4 linked regions of the Drosophila melanogaster genome follow. The protein of the gene in region 1 interacts with the protein of each later gene in a biochemical or structural test. Each region holds a gene or a part of one and is shown in the gene's direction. Other genes may lie near its edges. The genes, in order: Fmr1, sau, RpL11 and AGO2.

What was found.
Region 2: the proteins of Fmr1 (region 1) and sau form a complex in vitro, tested with the Drosophila melanogaster proteins (one study listed by BioGRID).
Region 3: the proteins of Fmr1 (region 1) and RpL11 form a complex in vitro, tested with the Drosophila melanogaster proteins (one study listed by BioGRID).
Region 4: the proteins of Fmr1 (region 1) and AGO2 form a complex in vitro, tested with the Drosophila melanogaster proteins (one study listed by BioGRID).

Annotation. Positions count from the first base shown.
Region 1 is NT_033777.3:10,107,105-10,112,108, reverse strand, and holds the start of Fmr1 (fragile X messenger ribonucleoprotein 1), read left to right. Parts: upstream 1-1,987; 5' UTR 1,988-2,293; intron 2,294-2,500; exon of another isoform or gene 2,501-2,585; intron 2,586-2,885; exon of another isoform or gene 2,886-3,037; 5' UTR 3,038-3,133; intron 3,134-3,197; 5' UTR 3,198-3,219; coding exon 3,220-3,414; intron 3,415-3,766; exon of another isoform or gene 3,767-3,879; intron 3,880-4,629; coding exon 4,630-4,679; intron 4,680-5,004. UniProt on the Drosophila melanogaster protein: Polyribosome-associated RNA-binding protein that plays a role in neuronal development and synaptic plasticity through the regulation of protein synthesis of mRNAs.
Region 2 is NT_033779.5:2,224,339-2,231,620, forward strand, and holds sau (sauron), read left to right. Parts: upstream 1-2,003; 5' UTR 2,004-2,730; coding exon 2,731-2,943; exon of another isoform or gene 2,944-2,967; intron 2,968-3,025; exon of another isoform or gene 3,026-3,266; intron 3,267-4,927; coding exon 4,928-5,055; intron 5,056-5,118; coding exon 5,119-5,237; intron 5,238-5,299; coding exon 5,300-5,475; intron 5,476-5,539; coding exon 5,540-5,788; 3' UTR 5,789-6,761; downstream 6,762-7,282. Other genes in the region: papi, read left to right, coding at 1-188, 241-347, 406-902; CG15387 (uncharacterized protein), read right to left, coding at 1,460-1,663, 1,721-1,867. UniProt on the Drosophila melanogaster protein: Phosphatidylinositol-4-phosphate-binding protein that links Golgi membranes to the cytoskeleton and may participate in the tensile force required for vesicle budding from the Golgi.
Region 3 is NT_033778.4:19,440,616-19,444,341, forward strand, and holds RpL11 (ribosomal protein L11), read left to right. Parts: upstream 1-1,726; 5' UTR 1,727-1,762; intron 1,763-1,827; 5' UTR 1,828-1,868; coding exon 1,869-1,874; intron 1,875-2,002; coding exon 2,003-2,125; intron 2,126-2,185; coding exon 2,186-2,483; intron 2,484-2,511; exon of another isoform or gene 2,512-2,641; intron 2,642-2,697; coding exon 2,698-2,825; 3' UTR 2,826-3,210; downstream 3,211-3,726. Other genes in the region: Spt5, read left to right, coding at 1-552, 611-1,176; Arl6 (ADP ribosylation factor-like 6), read left to right, coding at 3,602-3,726. UniProt on the Drosophila melanogaster protein: Component of the ribosome, a large ribonucleoprotein complex responsible for the synthesis of proteins in the cell.
Region 4 is NT_037436.4:15,552,537-15,560,135, forward strand, and holds the start of AGO2 (argonaute 2), read left to right. Parts: upstream 1-1,576; 5' UTR 1,577-1,670; coding exon of another isoform or gene 1,671-1,686; 5' UTR 1,687-1,728; coding exon 1,729-1,936; intron 1,937-4,286; exon of another isoform or gene 4,287-4,313; coding exon 4,314-5,581; intron 5,582-5,713; coding exon 5,714-5,802; intron 5,803-5,857; coding exon 5,858-6,467; intron 6,468-6,563; coding exon 6,564-7,580; intron 7,581-7,599. UniProt on the Drosophila melanogaster protein: Essential for RNA interference (RNAi); double-stranded RNA induces potent and specific gene silencing.

The DNA of each region.
Region 1 (5,004 bases):
GAAATGATGGAAAAATTATAAAATTAATATAAATGAAATTTTATTACCCCAATTTTTCATATTTAACACGAGGCAGTTATTAGTTATGATATGTTTATTCTGCTATTTAAAGGTATTAAAATATACACTGTTTTTGCACTTGGACTTAGAAATAATTAGCAAGGGAATGATACTACCTGGTTTTTTAGAAGGATGATCTCATCTTTTTTAACCATTAAACAAAAGAAAAAATAAATTTAACTTTCGTATTAAGGGTATTGTTGCTCAGAATTTGCTCCAGCAATTTGAGAATGACTAAACTTATTGAATTTTATTTCTATTAATATTCACACTTATGCGCGAATTCTTTATGTTACTATAATTACAAATGCAGTGAACACCTTTTATAAGGAATGTATTATCTTATTTATTATTGAAAAATTTACTTGCCCGAATATTCCTCGCAGTGTATTTTACGTCGAGAGGAAGTGACGTACCTGTCACGATCGAGATTGTCACATTTTGGCAAATAAATTTCACTTGATCCCTCCACGCGGTTAAAATTAGAATTTAAATTAATTTAGTGCCCGAAGTGACCAATTGTTGCACTGCAATTGCACCCGAACCGAATCGTTTCAAATCCGATCGCGAAACGAACATAATGCTAATTGAGCGGGACAAATTCTGGGGTGCGAGCGAGATGGCTAGATGCGAGAGGAGGAGGGGCTGTCGTCGCTGAACTTTCGCTCTTTTGTTGGCCATGTCGACGTCATTAAAGTGCAGTTAATGTGCCAAAAGGTAGAACAAAAGTCAATGTCAAACGGCAGCTGCTCTCATTTTCCTCGGCAGTGGAAAAGCGGTTGAAATAGGGGTGGTTAACTGGTGGGCAAGGGCGCGGGAAAATCAAATCAGAAACTGCATTTCCGCAACAAATCGCCGCTTGACAGTAATTACCGTCAACACGAGCGGTAATTTATGACTATCGAATTGCGAATCTTGATACCCTGTATGGAAAATTGTTATGGGATTTTAACGGAATCTGCCTGCAAATAGGCTGGGAAATGCGAAAATGGCGAGTAGAGGGTATTGCCTTTGCACAGAGACACAGAATTTCCAACTATTCACAGGCATATAAAGGATTTAATGGTTCCCATTAACTGACTGGCCATGAATTTTTATAATTTGTTGGCCCATTTTCACCACACAAATGCCTAAATGGCATGCGATTTAAATACAGGCGAGCTTTTAGACTTGCCCACTTATTAATCAAGAGTAAAGTTCACAAATATAATTCATAAATCTTATTAAGTAGTTCCAAGCAAATATGTGGTTTCATCCTAAATGGAGTACTCCGTCAGATTTCTGCTGTCCGATCCGCTGAAAATTGATGGAAATTGGATTACAAATAGACCGCACTGCACCTTTATCGGCCACTCATAATCAAATGCGTTTCATGAATGGAAGGGCAAAATAAGAAAAAAAAAATAGTAAAAAGCAAATTCAACAAGCGTGTTGACAAAAAGCGCCAGCGACGTCACGCGATTTGGGGGCAATCAAAGGGGCAAATAAAACACCGCATGTGGCAAATTGCGCCCACTGTTGACCCCAGCAGTCGTTGCAATTACATAGACAATTACATTAACATTAAGGCGTAGTGGTCAGCAGTTCTGCAAATTAAAATCGAATCGAATCAATTGAAAAGCCACCAAACATGCGAATCAATCTGCTGATGGGCTAGCAATTCAATTACGTTGTTAGCAGACAGCAAACTAAGTGAGCAGTCAATAGTGTTCGGTTCGTCGACTTCATTTAAATTTTAAATGATCTTATCAGCTTTTTGAATTTCGAATCGTAACCGCCTAGCGCGCTTAAAATACAACCCTGTTTATTGTGAACCCACAACTTATAGTCACTCTGGCAAGGCCCGGTGAGCTGTCACTTAGCAGCCTTGCCACTTTACTGTCAGATCATTTTTCTCTCGCTTTCAAACAAGCCCTGTGTTATAGAGCACAAATCATTTATCAAAAATTTCGTATCTTATTTTCACAAATTTATCGCTTGGGCCAAACACGCCCGAAATCTAGCCAAAACCATCCGAAGTGGCCAGTAACGCGCGCCGATTGTAAACGGGTGGCAACTCCAGTAGAACGTTGCCGAGCTGCGAAAGTGTGCAAAAGCAAAACGAAGAGAACGCAGCGCAGCCGAAAAAAATTGAAGCAGCACTGCACGCGATATATTTTGTATTTTCAAAGGTTAAAGCCGCATTCACAGGCATCCGCCGAGGGCAAACGAAGTGCAAAAGTGCCGGCCAGCAGTAAGTTTTCAAAAATTTGCAGTCTCTTGTGTATTACAGCCGCAAAAAGTGTTGAAAAAATTTTGCAAGAACCGAAAAAAACCAAAAAATTTTGCACATCGTCGGCGGCTGCGACGTCGACGACAGCAGCGACGCCGCCTCTCTGCCGGCAGCGGCAGCAAAAGGGAGCAGCTGAAAGAGGAAAACCGATAAAATACAAAAAGAAAAGTAGAGAACGAGAACGAGAAAAACGGCGAGCGGCTACGCAACGCTGATGTTTCTTCTCTTTGAGAAAAGCGAAAATCGAAAGCAAGTGTGGAAATTATGTGTAAATTCGATATGTAAATTCGGCATGTGCCGTTCGTAGTGTGCGTACAAATTCTTATTGGAAAAGCGTGTTCATCGGTGTGAACGAACGAACGAAGCATTTCGGCGGCGAGAGAGAGAGAAAAAGAGAGCGAGAGCGCACACGCTTGGTGGTGGTCATGTGTGTGTGAGGCGGCGGGCTCACACACACAAAGGGAGAGAGACAAAGAAGAAGAGGAAGCACTGCGCTGCTGCGCTGCCGGCAAAGCCGACGTCGCTGCCGGCTTCGCCGCCAGCTGCATTTAGTGTTTAGCTAGGAATTATCTGGCCCCCAAAATAACTTCAAAATTTTCTTCAACTATTTTTTTTATTAGTGTGTCAATATATAGTCTCCCTCTCCAGATACAAAAATTCAAAAATACCAAAAACAAAACCATTCCATATTATTATTGATTACAGGCAACATTTGAAGCAGCAGCCGCCAAGCAAAAGACTGATTTGAGTACAAGGAACTAGAAGCAGGAACGCGAGGTTTCTGCCACTGCACACTGAATTGTGAGCATACCCACCCATACCTAGCTATATCTATAGCCCTAATATCTCCATTCTTCCCCCTCAGGAGCCCCAGATAACGCGGCAAACTGCAGTCGACGGGGAAAAGTCGGGAGTTGAAGGCTGGGCAGCATCAGCATCAGCAGCAGGAGGGACAGGGACGGACGGCGAAGAACCACCAGAACCAGAACCAAAACAAAGCGGATAAACCAGGAGGCACTACGTCTGGCGATATGGAAGATCTCCTCGTGGAAGTTCGGCTCGACAATGGCGCCTACTACAAGGTGAGTTGATTCAATTGGTGGAATAAAAATGTTGGTAAGGGGGTGACAAAAAAAAAGAAGGAAAAACAGAGGAGCAAGGAGTTGGGGCAGCAGCTGCCTCAGTTTCTAATTTCGTGGATTTTAGCTTTATTTCTATTAATAAACAGCAACATTTTGAGTGGAGTCTCGACATCATCGCCACCACCACCACCACTACCACTACCACTACTACACTAATACCAGCACCATCGCCAATCTGCATACACCAACGCACTCACGCACACTGCGTTGTGGGGGTGCCGACGTCGACGTCGATGTCGATGTCGACGCGGACCGCGCCGCCCACTGCGCTGCCCACTGACGTCGTCGTGCATTCGGTTTTGTTGTTTTGATGATTTCCCTTTCTTGTCGTTGCAATTTATAAAGATAAGATCCGATTAAACCATCTTATATCGCGGTTAAGTGATTTTCGCGGATAGATTACAGGTATACGAGGTTGTTAGATCTCGAATCATTAGTCTTATGAACGAAGTTCAGTCTTAAATCCCATTCATAATGCTAGCTTTTGATGTGTTTTATTGTTCACTGTTTAAACAAATTCAGCAAAAATGTATGCTTATAGGCTTAAATTTTCCAATGATAATATAGACATTTTGGAAACCAGATAACAGTGCACTTAAGAATATTCTTATACTTTCAATTATTGTTCTTAGTACTTATCCCCATCATTAGCTAACCTATTCTGGAAACCTTCTGGATATGTATAGTAAGGTAGTGAATACTTTGCATAGCGTTGCCTTTGATTTCAGTGCTTGGAATCAAAACAAGGGCAATGCACATAAACACACTCGACTAGAGCGACTTCCCTGATGCTGATGATTCAGCTGTCGGCTGTTTGCATTTCGGATAAGGTTCTACGACTACTCGCTTATCGGAGATATACGGTTTCCCTCGCTAATGCCATTGCAATTCTCGATTTCACAATGGGACGGGATTGGGGGGACTATCGTAAAAATATATTTTATATACTTATGCATATACACACATCCGAATGGAGGTATATCATAGGCAATGGCCACATTAATGACACACATTTTTCTCTCTCTACTCCTATGCCTTCCGATGCTGGCCCTGTCAATGCTCTTGTATTTCATCCGTTTGCTGCCTGCCTGCCGCCAACAAAAAACTACAACTGCAAACTAAAAACTACGACGACGACGACAACAACAACAACAGGGCCAGGTGACAGCTGTCGCCGATGATGGCATCTTTGTGGATGTGGACGGGTAAGTTTGTTTAAACAAACAAATCTGCGAACAGGGCAAACAACAACAACTAGAGCGTATTTTCTAACTAATTTGCAACGATTAATACAATCAGAGCTGCAGCAGGAGCAGCAACAACCACCGACGCGACTTCTTGGCATCCGAATTAGAAATTAGAGATTCTGGGCACGCATCATTTGTGTCGTCCGCCATCCGCCAAACCACTTCCCGCCGAATCCCCTACTGCGGACTCACTAATTTGGCGCAATTTGTTAAACGCCAGACGCCGCTGCAGCAGTTTCTGTTGCTATTAGTTGATAAAAAAGAAAAAAAAAATGAGCCAAAT
Region 2 (7,282 bases), on another chromosome or scaffold:
GGTCAGATTGTGGCAGCCGTGTTTAAGTTCGACGAGAAGTGGTATCGCGCAGAAATCGTGGACATTATGCCTAACCAGTACAATCCAAAGGAGCAGGTGATCGATCTCTACTTCGTGGACTATGGAGATAGCGAATATATTTCGCCAGCTGATATCTGCGAGCTGCGCACTGATTTCCTCACGCTCAGGTAAGCAGTTCGACTGATTGGATAGACATAAATTTATATTTCACTATTTTAGGTTCCAAGCCGTTGAATGCTTCTTGGCCAATGTAAAATCTACCATCCAGACGGAGCCTATTACGTGGCCAAAGTCTTCAATCGCAAAGTTCGAAGAGCTGACAGAGGGTATGATTTCAGCAACAGTTGCTAGATATATTTTTGACTAAACACCGAACATTTGTAGTGGCACATTGGAGAAAGCTGATTGCTCGAGTGGTGACCTACAAGGAGCGTCCACGGGCAACCACCGCTGTAAGTGCTGCTGCCAAGGAGGGAACCCCGCTGCCCGGAGTGGAACTATTCGATCCAGCCGACAACTCTGAACTAAATATTGCCGATCTGATGATCACCCAGGGCTTTGCTCTGCCCCTGGACGATTCGTATCCAGTGCGGTCACGCTCCTCGACGCCCTCAAGTAACAGCGACTCCACCATTGAGGAGTTGTGCGTCAGCAATCCAGTGACTCCGCTTACGCCCCACTCACCTATGTCGATGTCCATTGATGTTGACAGCATTACGCAGGCGGAGAACGAGCACCTCGCCCAGCAGCTGCAGCATTTGCAGCATAAACTGAACGGAAACGACATAAAAAACATTAATCCGGCTAAACTGACGGCTACAGACCTCGAAAACGGGAATAACAATAATGCCAGCACCACAAATGGTGCTAGCGCGCATTAGGATTTCACATTGTTACTAATTATCCTCGCCTAATTGTTTATAAGATGAAGGCTGGACGAGCAGCTCACTACTTGACGTGTACATAAAAGTATAGCTCTTAAGGAACTTATTGTATAGGTACGAAAGAAAACTGTTTAATTTATCGCCGTGACTGATCGACATATCCTAGATCCTAAAAGCTGACGATGGAACGGCACAGATCCTTAATTGTTTATAGCAACCTTTGCCATGTTACTTATTGTTAGCAAGAACAAGAAAAACATTTGTACATCAACAAAAAATACACAAAAAAGATCACAAACTTATCAAAAGAAATGCATTTTATAAGAATATCAAGCTTAAGTCTATTTTGGTGGCCTGTTTCAGAAATCTGTATTAGAGAAGTATTTCAATATTCTTTGAAAATAAGATTTTCTAGATGACGTTAAGGCATAATTGAAAATGAATATAGTTTCTTCAAATGAAAAGGGCTACAAATATTAAAAGTCGCTTAAAGTATATTAAAAAACCCACCGGGGGGCAGAATTGCAGTCTTGTTTGGGGGATTTACCCCACGCTTAGATTAGGATGTCGTTGGTGGTGTTTATAGCTATGGGGGGCAGGTATATGGCGCGGATCTGACTGCGCAGGCGTACGATTTCCATGTCGTCCCTTTCCATTTCTCTGATGAGCTGGGAGAACTGGACTAATCCCTCGCGGTTTCCAGGAAACCCATGACCCTTAATGACCTCCAGTTGGAGTTGCATCACCAATGGAAAAACCTGCAATGTATTATGTTAAACTATTTGGTTATTTGTTTTGATTTGCTTGGTATTTACGTGCTGCATCATGAGAATCATCTCTTTTCCAGCGGAAGCCTTTGCCTCTGAGAGTTTCTTCGAGTTTTCCGGCTGATTTACACAGCGTATTATGTCCATAAGAATTTGCTTGGCAGTATCACTGTTGAAATTGGTCAAGTAGGACATTATAAACGTTTTAACGGCAGTGTTTGTGACGAATTTAGGCAAAATGCAACAAATTGTAGTAGGTTTTATTTTGTGTTTCCGTTAGAGATGAGTCATACAGCGATTACAACTATCGGACAAACTATCGGTTCGGATTCATAACATTACCAAACCCTTAGTATGGACAAGGAACTGTAATATCATTCAAACAAAAACTTTACGATTAAATAAATTAAGCTGAATTACAAAAAATTAAGAGTAAAAGTTAAATTAATTTCGTTTTAACAGCACCTCTAGAAGCAAAACGTTATCCAACACTTAAGGTCTGGAAAATTGCCAGTACTGAAAAGTGCGGAAATCATGTCACGTCGGAACGTCGACAAAAGACACAAATAATAGGAAAAAGCTTATTTCGCGCAGGCACTCGCATATTCCCAGTAAATGCAAGGCCAATGCAAATGCACCATTAGTACGGGCCACCAAATTGTAAATCAAACCGTCGAGTTCCCAGCGCAAAAACGCCGAGCAAAGCAGCAACAACGAAACGCAGTTTAGGGCCTGCATTTTTGCGATAGTGTGAAAAGTGCGTGTGTGCAAAAGAATACAAAATAAAGGGGGCGCAAAAGAGTCAGTGAAAACAACAACACACAAAAACACAAGACACAAGTACACAGAGAAAAACGCAAACACCCGCACTCGCGCAAACAGACACACACACACACTGTGAAACTCCCAACGTCGAGTCAGCAAATTGTGCCACACACACAAAACGAGGAAAGAGGAAGAAGAGCAGCAGCAGAAAAACATAGGTGCTCCGCTCGCATCCCACATCTCCAAAACTCCATCGATCCGAACTTCCCGACTACCCAACCCAACTCTCCGGAATGAATCGCTCCGACGGATTGGTGCGTCGCTCGGTGAAACCCCGCGAAAACGGTGGGGCGGAGGGTGGGTTGAATGCCAACACGCCGGACGACAACCAGGATGCACTGGACAACCTAAAGGACCAGGAGGACAATATCGACGATGGCGACTCCAAGGAAACACGACTAACGCTCATGGAGGAGGTTCTGCTGCTGGGACTCAAGGACAAGGAGGTGGGTGTGCTCCTTATCTCTTATCTGCTTGGGATGCACTAATTAATTGGTTTCTTTCGCAACATAAGTGCTTCTTCTTCACCTGTTAACCGACGTCTCTCTCTCTCTGTCGCTCTCACGATTTCTCTCTTTCGCAACCTCTTGCTTGGCCCCAAGTGCAACGCAGTCCATCTTCCAGCAGGGGCGTAGTGAAAATTGGATACAGGGGGGTAACTTATCACTTCAGTTATGGGGGCAACAATGTTTATCTGTCCTACAGATAAACATTTTATGCCATGTCTTAGCCACTTCTCTTAGCTTTTCCAGTTTGTTAAGCAATGCACTATGAAATCTTTTGACCAGCCTGCTGACTAATGCGCAATCAGTGAGACTGCCAACACCATTTTCTTAACCACTTTTGTTTTTGCATTAATTAATAGTGTGCTCCATCTGTTAAGGTCTAATCAGCCGTTCATTCTAATCTATAGAACCCATTACTTGCCCTTTGTAATACTTTGATGTACTTCCCAAATAAGTGATGATATATTTATATATAGTATATAATAGGTTTATTTTATGTGTTACACTATCGCGCAATTGCTTCCAGTGCCAAATCAAAAAGATTCTTAGAATTGTTGCCAACGTTCTTAGTTGTTGGAAAGATAGCGCTCTAATACTTCTTCGGTTGGCAGTTGTGGCTATAAATACATACATATCTCTTCGAGAACTTCACTCCGCGCAGCACGGAGAACGGTTTCGTCAAACGAGTTTTCCAATAAGTGGTTAATTTGCATAGGTTTGTAATATTCATAAATCTACGTATAGCGCGGGATGATGTCCGTAAATGCGAACCATCATCCATACGTGACCCATTATGGCGAACAGGCAGATTCGCATTTCTCCATTGAATTCGGTTTTTATATTTCACTTGGCACACAGCTTTATCGCTCAATTGCTGTTCGCTTGTACCACATAGGAATGCACACATGTGCCTTTGTGGCTGGCACCACGTCTATTTGTTTTCATCATTTTGCCCGCAGTGTATTTGTGTGACCACCCACACCTCCATCCCTGCCACCTCCTCTCCCTTCGCATAAGAGGGATACGAGCTGGAAACAGTGGGACGTGTTGCCCGCTTTTGTTTTACATTCCCCTTCCGAGCGCTCTTATCGCGAAGATTTTGTCCATTTGGTTAATTGTTTGAGGAAGTACATACTATCAAGTGCTGCTCTCCTCTGCCTAGCTCTCATCCGTTTCGGGCTTTTCTTATGTCAGTACGTCACTCATTTTCGAAATTATACAAAGTACTTGGCTTCTACCCACACCATCCATTAGGAAAATTTCAATATCTCGAACTGCCGAACTGATAAGCGACGTGTTCTTTGCAAATGATTCACTTTTATACCTTTCGTTCGGAACGATTCCTTATCAATCATCTGAGCGATTGTTATATAAATTATTTTAAAATCGTGAAATGGCATTGAAACGTGGTTGAGGTATCTATCTATACCTTCCAATTATCATAGCTTTTCAAGCGTTAATAACAAGAGTAATTTTTGTAATTGATTTTTTATGTGGTTATAACATAACTCTTCTTGTTCGTTTTTTCATTTATACTAGCTAGATAAGCATTGTATTTTTTAAATTGACAGTTCATACACTTCTGTGGGCAAGGCCTAAACAAACTCAAGTGTTTAATGTTTTAACAACTGAATACTTTCGTCTGGGAGCTTTACGACCCCGGCAACAGGGTAATTATTCATTTCTTTTACGCCCAACACAAGTGAAAAGGCCAAACCATAGACTTGCTCAAATATATTTCAAAACCTTGAAACATGAGACAGTAACCATTTGTTAATGAAGTTTGTACTTACATTTATGTTAGATAGAATTTAATAAAATTTTAAAAAATAAACAAGTAACGCATTCACACATTCTTATTTTTAGATGCCCATCCAGGCCAATCAAATAGCTTGAATCTAATAGCATTTTTAATTACTTTCAGGGCTACACATCTTTCTGGAACGACTGCATATCAAGCGGCTTGCGCGGATGCATTCTCATAGAGCTTGGACTGCGAGGTCGCGTGATGATCGAGAAATCTGGAATGCGGCGACGTGGTCTATGTACAAGGTATGTATAGAAATCTAGTTTCCACATCCTTTCAGAAGCATGCTAACTTCAATTCGCCAACAGGAAATTAATACTGAAATCGGATCAGCAGACGGGAGACGTTCTACTCGATGAGGCACTTAAACACATTAAGGAAACAGATCCCCCGGAGACGGTGCAGAGCTGGATTGAATATCTTAGTGGTGTGTATTTAGGCGCCTGCCATTTCGCCAAGTATGTTTTGTATAACCTATTGTTGTGGCAGGTGAAACCTGGAATCCGTTGAAATTGCGCTACCAACTGAAAAATGTACGCGAACGTCTGGCCAAAAATCTGGTGGAGAAGGGTGTGCTCACGACGGAAAAGCAAAATTTTCTACTCTTCGATATGACGACACATCCGCTGAGCGACAATGTTGTCAAATGTCGCCTGGTGAAGAAGGTGCGTAACTAGACTTGGATATATTCAAGAATTCTAAAACTGAATCCGAAATGTATGACTTCAGATCCAAGATTCTGTGCTCTCCAAGTGGGTCAACGATCCACAGCGCATGGACAAGCGGATGCTGGCGCTTATCTTCCTGGCGCACGCCAGCGATGTGATCGAGAACGCCTTCGCGCCGCTGAATGATGACGACTATGAGGTGGCCATGAAGCGGGTGCGGGAGCTGCTGGATCTCGACTTCGAAGCCGAGTCGGCCAAGCCGAATGCGAACGAAATTCTGTGGGCGGTGTTCATGGCGTTCACGAAATAGACGATCCTCTGATCCTCTACGCTCCTCTCAATAGCACACACACACACACAACACACACCCCAACACAGAAATACAGACCCACATCTGGAATACATTTTGCTGCTTTTGTTTTAGAAACTTTGCTGTGAGTGGAACCGAATCGGGCGATAGGATTTTCTTAAATGGCAACCACCCCAAATATCTGTTTCAGTAATATATATTTTTTAAGCGAGACTATAAAGCAGCCATAATTCCTATTTAAATATACATATGTTTATCAACACTTCAATAATACCAATCAAACGCTCCATTGTCCTTTAATTTTTTCCTGTTCTGTTGAGCATAATAATACATGCCAATGTTTTGCAATCATAATCAGTAAGTTGTGTTCCACGACACATAGAGTTTAGTTGATGATTTCTCTGGCAATGCAAATCAAAATGTATGATGGAAAATTTAAAGCTGCAGCATTGTTTTTGTAATTATATATCTAGCACTAATTGTAAGCGCCAACAAGAAAACTTTGATAAAGTCTGGGCAAGCTGCGTGCGATTGTCTATTGTCAAATATCCTATATATATTTTATCAAAACTTTTCAATTCTATTTTTGATTGTCAAGTATTTTCGAGCCCTTTCCATGTATTCGATTGCGCGTAGAAAATCAGTTCAAAACGTTTCTCGAGCTCCGCAATTTTACCTTAGTACGTTCGACCTTAAGTATGCACCCACCCACATGAACAGACAGACATGCAGACAATTTGACACGGAGCGACATTCAATCTAGGCAATGTTTTAATTTAAATTGTTATTGAATTTCGGGAACATTGAAGTTGAAAAACCTTTTCTAACTGCTAAAAGAAAAATAAAGAACGACAAGAAGTGGACAGCAAGAAAAGAAAAATTATGTAAATGTAAACTGTGCACGTCAAATAATACTAATTCTTAGATATTTAAAGGCCTAATAAAATACAAATATAAAATATATAACTGACGCAAAATTGAAAGTTTATTGCAATTTCGGTTGTACCCCTCCATAAATCAGAGGAAAAATATAAAACATTTAATGAAAAATGGGTGATGAGTTTTAATAAAAGGGGGAAAGCAAAAGTGGACAATCGTCGGAGGAGAAATAGGATTCTTTCCGGTGTGACGACCAATCCGATTTAACTTATCTACTTGAAAGCATAGCCCAATTTTTGATTCGCTTTTTAATACAGTTTTTATTCCGTTTTTCATTCTCAATAAATGTGTTTTTGTTTTGCAGTGTTTGCATTTCTTTCGATAGTTGAAGGGGCAATATACCATATAAGTCGAGTAATTCTCACACGAAACATTTAGGTTATAATATAATAATCTTTCAATGACATAAAGTATGATAAAAAGCAGGGCGCAGCGCACAAATTATTGCAAAAATACATTAGGCCAAAAAGGATGTGAACAAAGAAGTGCTCTTATACTATCCGTTAAATCAACTAGCAGTTTTCAACTGTGGAAAATTTGCAAGTAATTTGTAAT
Region 3 (3,726 bases), on another chromosome or scaffold:
CGCCGCGCATTCAATCGCCCATGCATCCATCCGGTGGTCGTGGAGCTCGTGGTGGCGCCCGTGGTGGACGAGGTGGTTTCCGAGTGACCCGTGACCGTGAGATCTTGGGTAAAACCATTAAGATTAGTGGAGGACCTTATAAGGGCGCCGTGGGAATTGTGAAGGATGCCACCGAGAGCACGGCTCGTGTGGAACTGCATACCTCATGCCAGACGATTTCGGTAGACCGGAATCACATTGCCATTGTGGGAGTTACCGGTAAAGAGGGCAGTGTCTCCACATATGGACGCACCCCAGCTCGCACTCCCGGCTACGGTGCCCAGACTCCCAGTTATACCGCTGCCGGATCGAAAACTCCGTTGGTGGGAAGCCAGACGCCCAACTGGGATACGGATACTCGTACTCCTTATGGTACAATGACACCATCGCACGATGGCAGCATGACACCACGTCATGGCGCTTGGGATCCCACGGCAAACACAACGCCGGCCAGGAACAACGATTTCGATTACTCCCTTGAGGAGCCCAGTCCCAGCCCTGGATACAATCCAAGTAAGTACTTTGGTTGCGCATTGTTCTTGACATATTGTAACTCCATCGAATCTTAAAGGTACCCCTGGCTATCAAATGACTTCCCAGTTTGCCCCGCAAACTCCTGGCACTCTGTATGGATCGGACAGAAGCTACAGTCCATTCAATCCCAGCCCCAGTCCTGCTCCGTCGCCGTATCCCGTTGGTTACATGAACACTCCGTCGCCATCGACTTATTCACCGAATACTCCTGGTGGCATACCGCAGTCGCCGTACAATCCGCAGACCCCTGGAGCCAGTCTGGACTCGTCGATGGGCGACTGGTGTACCACAGACATTGAAGTTCGGATTCACACGCACGACGACACCGATCTCGTTGGGCAAACGGGCATCATTCGCACCGTTTCGAACGGCGTCTGCTCCGTATTCCTGCGCCAGGAGGATCGCAGTGTGTCCATCGTTAGTGAGCACTTGGCGCCAGTGCTACCATGCAATGGCGACGAATTCAAGATCATCTACGGCGATGACCGCGAGTCCGTGGGCAGAGTGCTGTCCAAGGATGGCGATGTGTTCGTCTGCAGGATTAACGAGGAAATCAAGCTGCTACCGATTAACTTCCTCTGCAAGATGAAGTCCATCGACTAAGCTCTACATACGAATTGATGCTACACACTTTAAAGTTGACGGACTTCTTCAATGGAATACACATTATTGCTAAAATTAATAATTCAAATAAACTATTATGGACGTTTACTTCGAGTTTTTCAATTGATATCACTGGAAGTGCCTTTTTTTATTAATTTTGGCGCATTACTTAAACGATGTGTTTAATGCGAAATGAAGTTAATTAAGCGGGCCGTATTTCAAATAAATTTTTATTCTAAAAGGATTTTTCGTTACATGCGAATAACGCCAAGTAAACAAATATCAAATCAAGCTACCTCAAAGTAATTTAAACATCCGTGCAATCAAATAATCACAATTATCGGCCATATTTGCTGTTCAGCATTTAAAATAATTGAATAAACCAATTTCAGTGGTTAACATTTTAAGGAATACCCCATTTATTTACCGTTAGCCCTGTTAACCGTTAGTGATGGAACGACGTGCGCACAACAGCACGATAGTTGGATAACAGCACGACAACAGCACGTGTCGTGCGTTTTTTAGGTCCATTTGTGCGCCTCAGCGCGGCCACACTATCCTTTCCTTCTTTTCTTACAAGTTTCCGGTGAGTGCTCCGCGTTTTTTTTGCCGATATTTTTATTTAACCACTTTTAAATCGTTTATTTGTAGCGAGGGATACCTGTGAGCAGCTTTCACTCCTACATACCACAATGGCGGTAGGTTCAACCACAATTGCTGCACGCATCGACATATTTTCAACAATATTTTTGTCATGCAAAATTTGTACGCTGTGTGTTTACGATGGCAGCACAAGAAGTGACGAGTTTCCTTGGTTGTTTTTCAGGCGGTTACCAAGAAGATTAAGCGCGATCCCGCGAAGAACCCGATGAGGGATCTGCACATCCGCAAACTCTGCCTGAACATCTGCGTGGGCGAGTCCGGTGACAGGCTGACCCGTGCCGCCAAGGTAAGATATACCTAGATGCAGCATAACCATGATCACTGGCTAACTAGAGAATGCCAACAGGTGCTGGAGCAGCTGACTGGTCAGCAGCCAGTGTTCTCCAAGGCCCGCTACACGGTCCGTTCGTTCGGTATTCGCCGTAACGAGAAGATCGCTGTCCACTGCACGGTGCGCGGCGCCAAGGCTGAGGAGATTCTGGAGCGTGGCCTGAAGGTGCGCGAGTACGAGCTGCGTCGGGAGAACTTCTCCTCCACCGGCAACTTCGGTTTCGGCATCCAGGAACACATCGATCTGGGCATCAAGTACGATCCCTCCATCGGTATCTATGGTCTGGACTTCTACGTCGTCCTCGGCCGCCCTGGTAAGCATCTGTCTCCTACGTTTCGAATCGTGCACTTAATTAGGTATCTCTGCCAATCGAGGCTCTGATGCTCAGTGAATGTGCGCATAGCAAAGAAGATGTGCTTAGTTGGACTTGCTACATTCCATGCGTGGCCACACGGTACAATTTCGACAGCGTCTCATGGATTGCCAAAACGTTGATTACTTATCTGCTACTCTGGTTTATCTTGCAGGCTACAATGTGAACCACAGGAAGCGCAAGTCCGGCACTGTCGGCTTCCAGCACCGCCTCACCAAGGAGGATGCCATGAAGTGGTTCCAGCAGAAATACGATGGTATCATCTTGAACACCAAGAAGTAGAGGAGCTCTATCAGTAACCATGTTTTTTAAGAAGAATTCTACAATAAACCTTGGCTTGTGTCAACACGTAAAACCCGTAGTTCTGATCAACATTATTTATCGACAATAGTTTCAACTAAGTGGATCGTGATTGAAGTTATTTGGCAAGAAATCATTGCTAGGATTTCATATCCGGTTTTAGGTTCTATGGAGACCAACGTCTTGTTAATGGATACAACTGCAGCATATTGTAGTGTCTGGACGAAAACATTTGGATATCAGCTAGAGGCATTCAAGATTTTAAAGTTTACTGTTCAATTGATCAATTTTAAAGCAATTTCTTGTACTATTATAGAAATCAATTGTAAATATCAAAATGCCAAAATGAAAAAACTTTTGTAACAAAAGGAACAAATTCTTGATTTTGCTACAAGTTGTAGATTTAATTGCTAAACTGAGTTCCATGATTTATTTTATGAAATCCTAAAGCCAAATCATTCAGTTCAGTGTAGGTGTACATATGGCCAAAACAATTCCATCTTGGGCATGATGGGTGACCTCTTCCCCTACTGTTGTAATCGAACCCAATACTCAAAGTCACGCCTTAGGTGAACTTGAAAATTCGTGGGGGCGAACAAATCGGATGCGGCAGCCAAAGTTGAAGGTGGCCATAAGTTTCAATAAATCGATGCCAACACCAAGCGGGTTGCCATGGCAATTGAAAGTCCTTTGCAGGGCCAAACATGTCAGGAAAATCGCCGTAAACAAAATAAAATTGATGCCCGTCCGCCAGTAAAATGGGAATGTTGCACAATTTGGCCGATTTGATAAAGATTAAAAAGGATAAGATGACGATTCTGGTGCTGGGACTGAACAACAGCGGAAAGTCCTCGATAATTAATCATTTCAAAAAGTCCAGCGA
Region 4 (7,599 bases), on another chromosome or scaffold:
AATTTCGCAGCAATTATTTTGTTTTTTATGTTTACAATTTGTGTTTTACGTTTTAGTGCAATTTTTTGGCATACATACATATTTATACAGATATTTTTGTATTCTTTTCGCAGCGTTCTAAATGAGTCATTCTAGTTTTTATTAGTTGAATTTATAAACACAAAATTACTTAACGGAAATTTCAAGCGTAACCCGTTGATTTCCTATCAACTCGATAATATGTATCTATAAAATATAATTTAGCTATTTCTACGTATGTCTGTGCATGTGTGTATAAATCAAGCGGGCGAAGTTGTGCAATTGTTAGAAAATTTTTAAAAGAAAGATATTTAGTAAAAATACGAAAATCAGAAATCGATGTTGAAAAACAAAACGCTCGTGCAATGACAAACAAAATTTTATTAATAAAGCGTTAAACAAACAAATTAAAGACAACATGAAATATACATTATGATATATTTATATATACAAGTATGAATAATGTACGACTATTTACTATTTTTTGGCTATAGCATTTTAAACGCATATATTGTATGTTTAACGTTGAAAATGGAAAAAACAAACAAAACAAGAAAATACATCAAAAAAAATTGTAAAACTTTTATGATTGGTTGCTGTAATTTGGCAAAAGTAAAAGTGCAATTCCAAATAAAATTCAAACAACCATACAAACAGCAGGAATCTGGGTCTTTTATTTATTTATTATCTATGGAAAAACAATACTTTTTCTGGAATGTAAAACTATTTTTCACTTAAAGGCGGAAAAATAAAAATAATGCTTTCTAGCAGTGGTGATTAAATTTATTGATTCTTACTGATGTCTTCTTCCAAAATAAAATTTAAAAAAAAAAACTAGTAAATTAAAATTTTTTTCCTATTTTAAACTTCCCCGATAATCAGATGCCAGTTACTCAACTATTGGAAATGCGAACGCAAATTAGATATTGGTGAATAAAATAAGAAAAAAAATTAAAATTGTTAAAAATTGTAAGCGTGGCTTTTCGGCGGTTTGTGGGAGTAATAGTAGTTTGGCAGATCAATAGAAATTTACAAGACTAATCAAAATATGAAAAATATCACATTTTGCATAACTGTGGGCGTGGCAATTTAAAGTTTTTTGGCAGATCGATGGAAATTTACAAGACTAATAAAAATATGAAAAATGTCAAAACATTTTGAAAATGTGCGTGGGAAGTTTTGGGGGCTTTCCGTAATCTCAATTTTCTAGCTTCTTATTCATCCTGAGATCTCGACGTTCGTACGGACTGACAGATGGACGGAAAGACGGACATGGCTAGATCGACTCGGCTATTGGTCCTTATATATATAATATATATAATATATTATAATATATATAATTTATTAGGTCGAAATCGGTTTCTTTTGCCGGATACATGCTTTTCAACGAATATAGCATACATTTGACTCAACAAGCAACATGTATACAAAACATGTATAAAAATATACAAATATAAATAGAGTCCCCACTTGAATGGCCCGCCTAGTCCGTATGTTCCTATCAATAATCGATAACAGAAAACACTTTAGCTGTGCCGCTCAATAACTTATCGCCCACCCCTAAGGCCTCCCATCACTAAAAAAGACTGTGACGCATTAAAAAATCGTCTATTAAAAGTCGTCAGTTAACTCGAAACCCTCAAAAGTAAATCATGGGAAAAAAAGATAGTGAGTTGTCCCACCTGCAGGACCATACAGCTATTCAAATATATGCACTTTCCAATTACCACCCCAGAGAACAAGAAAGGAGGACAGGATAGCGCTGCAGCACCACAGCCCCAGCAGCAGCAAAAGCAACAACAACAACGGCAGCAACAACCACAGCAGCTGCAACAACCACAGCAGCTGCAACAACCACAGCAGCTGCAACAACCACAGCAGCAGCAACAACAACAACCGCATCAGCAACAACAACAAAGTAAGTGCAAAGTGCGATATATCGGCGTAGGCAAAAAATAGATGTATGCATGCATGTACATACATATGTTTTGTACATATGGATTTACCATTTGCAATCAAATGCTCCATAAACTTTCGAAATGCCTGGGAATTCCCGAATTCGTGGCAGCCATGATGAAATTCAACTGCCATGGTTGTATAGAACCTATGTATGTGTGTATTATACTTAAAGGTGAATTCTACTGTATATAACAGTTATTGAATTTCCCCTTAACATAACTAAATTAAAATTCCTTTATATTTAAAAAAATGAATTTTGCTATGAAATGTAACAGTTGTGCTTTAGGCAGAAGCATCAAACAATTAAGAATTAAAATCTGCTCAAATCTGTAAATCTTAATCTTAATTTATACCAGATCCGACATTTTAACTCAATTATAAACTTATTAAAAATCTGAAAGATGAAGCGAAATTGAACATTTGACATCAATATATCTTTACATTTAAGGTTATGTACATACAGTTTGTCAAGAAACTGTTTACACACTGTGAAATAAGTTGAATTTTTGACTTTAAAGCTAAAAATAAAGGGTTTTTTGCTTAATTAAACGCAATTTTTTTATAAAATATAATTAAACAATATTTATTTTACTTATAAATAAAAAACAAATTAAAAATATTAAATATACAAGAAAATAAACAACAAATTCCAGGTTTACACACTTTTGAGACTGTCAAGAAACTCTTTACACATTTTGTTTTCCTACTTTGTTTTGTTCTTTTTCTTAGAACGAACTCGATTTTTCCGTTATTTTTGGCTTCGCATTGCTTTTTACAACGCTTCTATTGAAATTTGTTGACTTTGCTTGTGAAATTTTGCTGATCAAACGTGCTTAAAGCGAATTATTAAATTTAATAAAATGCCTGGAAAGAGATTAACTTTTGAAGTTACCCAATTAATAAACTATAACCACCAGTTGGGAAAATCTTTTCCAGAATTAGTATAAATGTTTCCTGTATCCCGTAAGACCGTCTACAATGTTTTAAAAGGCTCGGAAAAAGAGGGCAGGCTTGAACCTAAGAGTGGTGGTGGACGGAAAATTAAAATTAAAAAGCGTGTAGACCGCTTTATTATGCGAATAGTGATTGCGAACCCCCGAATCTCGGTCAGATCACTTGCTCTGGATATCAGGCAAGAATGCCACCTAACTGTGTCACACGAAACTGTGCGCCAAGTCATCCTACGCCATAGGTACTCTTCAAGATTTGCAAGGAAAAACCCTTTGCTATCAGATGCCAATATGGAAAAGCGTCATTAATTCGCTGTGAGCATGATGGATCATGCGGAAGAGTACTGGGATGACGTCATATTTTGTGACGAAACAAAAATGATGCTCTTTTATAACGACGGGCCAAGCAGAGTATGGCGCAAACCGTTGAGTGCGCTAGAAAAACAAAATATCATTCCAACGATAAAATTTGGAAAAATGTCACTGATGATGTGGGGCTGTATCACCAGCCGTGGAGTGGGAAAACTAGCCTTAATTGAGAGCACAATAAATGCCGTGCAATATCTAGAAATGTTAAAAAACAAATTTGAAGGCCAGTGTAGAAAAAATTAGTCTGGTTAGCAACAACAAGCCAAATTTTAAGTTTTACCAGGACATGATCAGAAACATAAAGAGTGCAATGTACGCACCTGGCGCCTTAATAACTGTGGTAAAGTGATCGATACGCCCCCTCAGAGTCCTGATCTGAACCCCATTGAAAATTTGTGGACCTACTTAAAGAAGAAGGTGGCAAAAAGGGACCTAAAACACAACAACAGCTTATGACTGTAATAGTCGAAGAGTGTGAAAAGATCCCGTTTGAATATGACCTGCAAAAACTTGTCCAATCCATGAAAAAAAGGCTTCAACTTGTAGCTAAAGCCAATGGGGAACATACTACATACCAAAACTTTTAAAATTTTAATAAAATAATTAAAAAATTTAGGATTAAACTTCGATTTAGTGTTTTGTGTAAAGAGTTTCTTGACAGTCTCAAAAGTGTGTAAACTTGGAATTTGTTGTTTATTTTCTTGTATATTTAATATTTTTAATTTGTTTTTTGATTTATAAGTAAAATTAATATTGTTTAATTATATTTTATAAAAAAATTGCGTTTAATTAAGCAAAAAACCCTTTATTTTTAGCTTTAAAATCAAAAATTCAACTTATTTCACAGTGTGTAAACAGTTTCTTGACAAACTGTATGTATTTTAAAGTGATACAAATTATTTTCGCGTTAGCAAATTCAAATCAGCCAAGTGAATACTTTTCGAAGAGTTTGCTTGCAGTTTTTTCGAAACCTAACACCTATTGTAATAAACATTCTTTGTCGATTTCTAAATCTAGGTTCGAGACAACAGCCATCCACAAGCTCAGGCGGATCCCGTGCATCTGGGTTCCAGCAAGGAGGCCAACAGCAAAAATCCCAAGACGCAGAAGGATGGACTGCACAGAAAAAACAAGGCAAACAGCAGGTACAAGGGTGGACTAAACAAGGTCAACAAGGTGGCCATCAGCAAGGACGACAAGGGCAAGACGGTGGCTACCAACAGCGTCCGCCTGGACAACAACAAGGTGGCCATCAGCAAGGACGACAAGGGCAAGAAGGTGGCTACCAACAGCGTCCGCCTGGACAACAACAAGGTGGCCATCAGCAAGGACGACAAGGGCAAGAAGGTGGCTACCAACAGCGTCCGTCTGGACAACAACAAGGTGGCCATCAGCAAGGACGACAAGGGCAAGAAGGTGGCTACCAACAGCGTCCGCCTGGACAACAACAAGGTGGCCATCAGCAAGGACGACAAGGGCAAGAAGGTGGCTACCAACAGCGTCCGTCTGGACAACAACAAGGTGGCCATCAGCAAGGACGACAAGGGCAAGAAGGTGGCTACCAACAGCGTCCGCCTGGACAACAACAAGGTGGCCATCAGCAAGGACGACAAGGGCAAGAAGGTGGCTACCAACAGCGTCCGCCTGGACAACAACAAGGTGGCCATGAGCAAGGACGACAAGGGCAAGAAGGTGGCTACCAACAGCGTCCGTCTGGACAACAACAAGGTGGCCATCAGCAAGGACGACAAGGGCAAGAAGGTGGCTACCAACAGCGTCCGTCTGGACAACAACAAGGTGGCCATCAGCAAGGACGACAAGGGCAAGAAGGTGGCTACCAACAGCGTCCGTCTGGACAACAACAAGGTGGCCATCAGCAAGGACGACAAGGGCAAGAAGGTGGCTACCAACAGCGTCCGCCTGGACAACAACCAAACCAAACCCAGAGCCAAGGCCAATACCAATCTCGTGGACCACCTCAGCAACAGCAGGCTGCCCCATTACCATTACCGCCTCAGCCAGCCGGGAGCATTAAGCGCGGAACAATCGGCAAACCCGGGCAAGTAGGCATCAACTATCTGGACCTTGACCTGTCCAAAATGCCTTCTGTGGCATACCACTATGACGTGAAGATCATGCCAGAGCGTCCCAAAAAGTTTTACAGACAGGCATTTGAACAATTTCGGGTGGACCAATTGGGCGGAGCAGTTCTTGCCTATGATGGCAAAGCCTCTTGCTACTCGGTGGATAAGCTGCCGTTAAATAGCCAAAATCCGGAAGTGACTGTAAGTTGCAAGAAATTGTCTACTAAGTTATGAACAACTGGGAGTAATAACATTTTTAAATGTATACAGTGGCAGTTAAATTTAATTTAATCTATACGATATTTTAGTTGTTTTTATTTCTTATTATTTTAGGTGACAGATCGTAATGGTCGTACTTTGCGCTACACGATCGAAATCAAGGAGACTGGTGACTCGACCATTGACCTTAAATCGTTAACTACGTAAATATAAATTATGTTTTTTATGGATACTCCTATTGAACGCGCTCCTCTGCAGTTATATGAATGACCGAATTTTCGACAAGCCCATGCGAGCAATGCAGTGCGTGGAGGTTGTTTTGGCTTCACCCTGCCACAACAAAGCCATCCGTGTCGGTCGTTCCTTCTTTAAGATGTCCGATCCTAATAATCGTCACGAACTGGATGATGGATACGAGGCCCTGGTCGGTCTGTATCAGGCATTTATGCTGGGCGATAGGCCATTTTTAAATGTAGATATATCGCACAAATCCTTTCCGATTTCAATGCCGATGATCGAATATTTGGAGCGATTTAGCTTAAAGGCTAAAATCAACAATACAACGAATTTAGATTATTCGCGACGCTTCCTTGAGCCATTCCTCAGAGGCATTAATGTGGTTTACACGCCTCCTCAGTCGTTTCAAAGCGCTCCAAGGGTATACCGTGTAAATGGTCTTTCTCGTGCCCCGGCCAGCAGTGAGACCTTCGAACACGATGGGAAGAAGGTCACCATTGCGTCCTACTTCCACAGTCGCAACTACCCATTGAAGTTTCCCCAACTCCATTGTCTGAACGTTGGATCTTCAATCAAGAGTATTCTGCTGCCCATCGAGCTATGCAGCATCGAGGAAGGTCAGGCCCTAAACGTGAGTTCACTAAATTCCTTTATATCTATATCTTGGTGTTCAATACCGTAAGCTATATTGTCATTACATATACCTATAAACATATGTATTTCACAGCGCAAGGATGGAGCAACTCAGGTGGCCAATATGATAAAGTACGCAGCCACATCGACGAACGTGCGAAAGCGCAAGATTATGAACTTGCTGCAATACTTCCAGCACAACCTGGATCCGACCATCAGTCGCTTTGGCATCCGCATTGCCAACGATTTTATTGTGGTAAGCACCCGCGTCCTAAGCCCACCTCAGGTTGAATATCATAGTAAGAGGTTTACTATGGTGAAGAACGGGTCGTGGCGCATGGATGGCATGAAGTTTCTGGAGCCCAAGCCCAAGGCGCACAAGTGTGCGGTCTTGTATTGCGATCCGAGGAGTGGTCGCAAAATGAACTATACCCAGCTGAATGACTTCGGGAACCTAATAATATCCCAAGGCAAGGCAGTCAACATAAGCTTGGATTCTGATGTGACATACAGACCGTTCACGGATGACGAACGCAGCCTAGACACTATTTTCGCGGATCTGAAGCGCAGCCAGCACGATCTGGCAATTGTGATTATTCCTCAGTTTAGAATTTCTTACGATACAATTAAGCAGAAGGCCGAGCTGCAGCATGGAATTTTGACGCAATGCATTAAGCAGTTCACCGTGGAACGAAAGTGTAATAATCAGACGATTGGAAATATTCTACTTAAGATCAACTCCAAGCTGAACGGCATCAACCACAAGATCAAGGATGATCCTCGTCTGCCGATGATGAAGAACACCATGTACATTGGAGCCGATGTGACCCATCCCTCTCCCGATCAGCGCGAGATTCCCAGTGTGGTCGGAGTAGCAGCCTCACACGATCCCTACGGAGCCAGTTATAACATGCAATATCGTTTGCAGCGAGGGGCTCTGGAGGAGATTGAGGACATGTTCTCGATTACTTTGGAGCACTTGCGCGTGTATAAAGAGTACCGTAACGCCTATCCTGATCATATCATCTACTACCGAGATGGCGTGAGCGACGGCCAGTTTCCGAAAATCAAAAACGAGGAACTGAGGTGTATTAAACAAGCCTGTGACAAGGTAAGTTTTTGAATTTCCT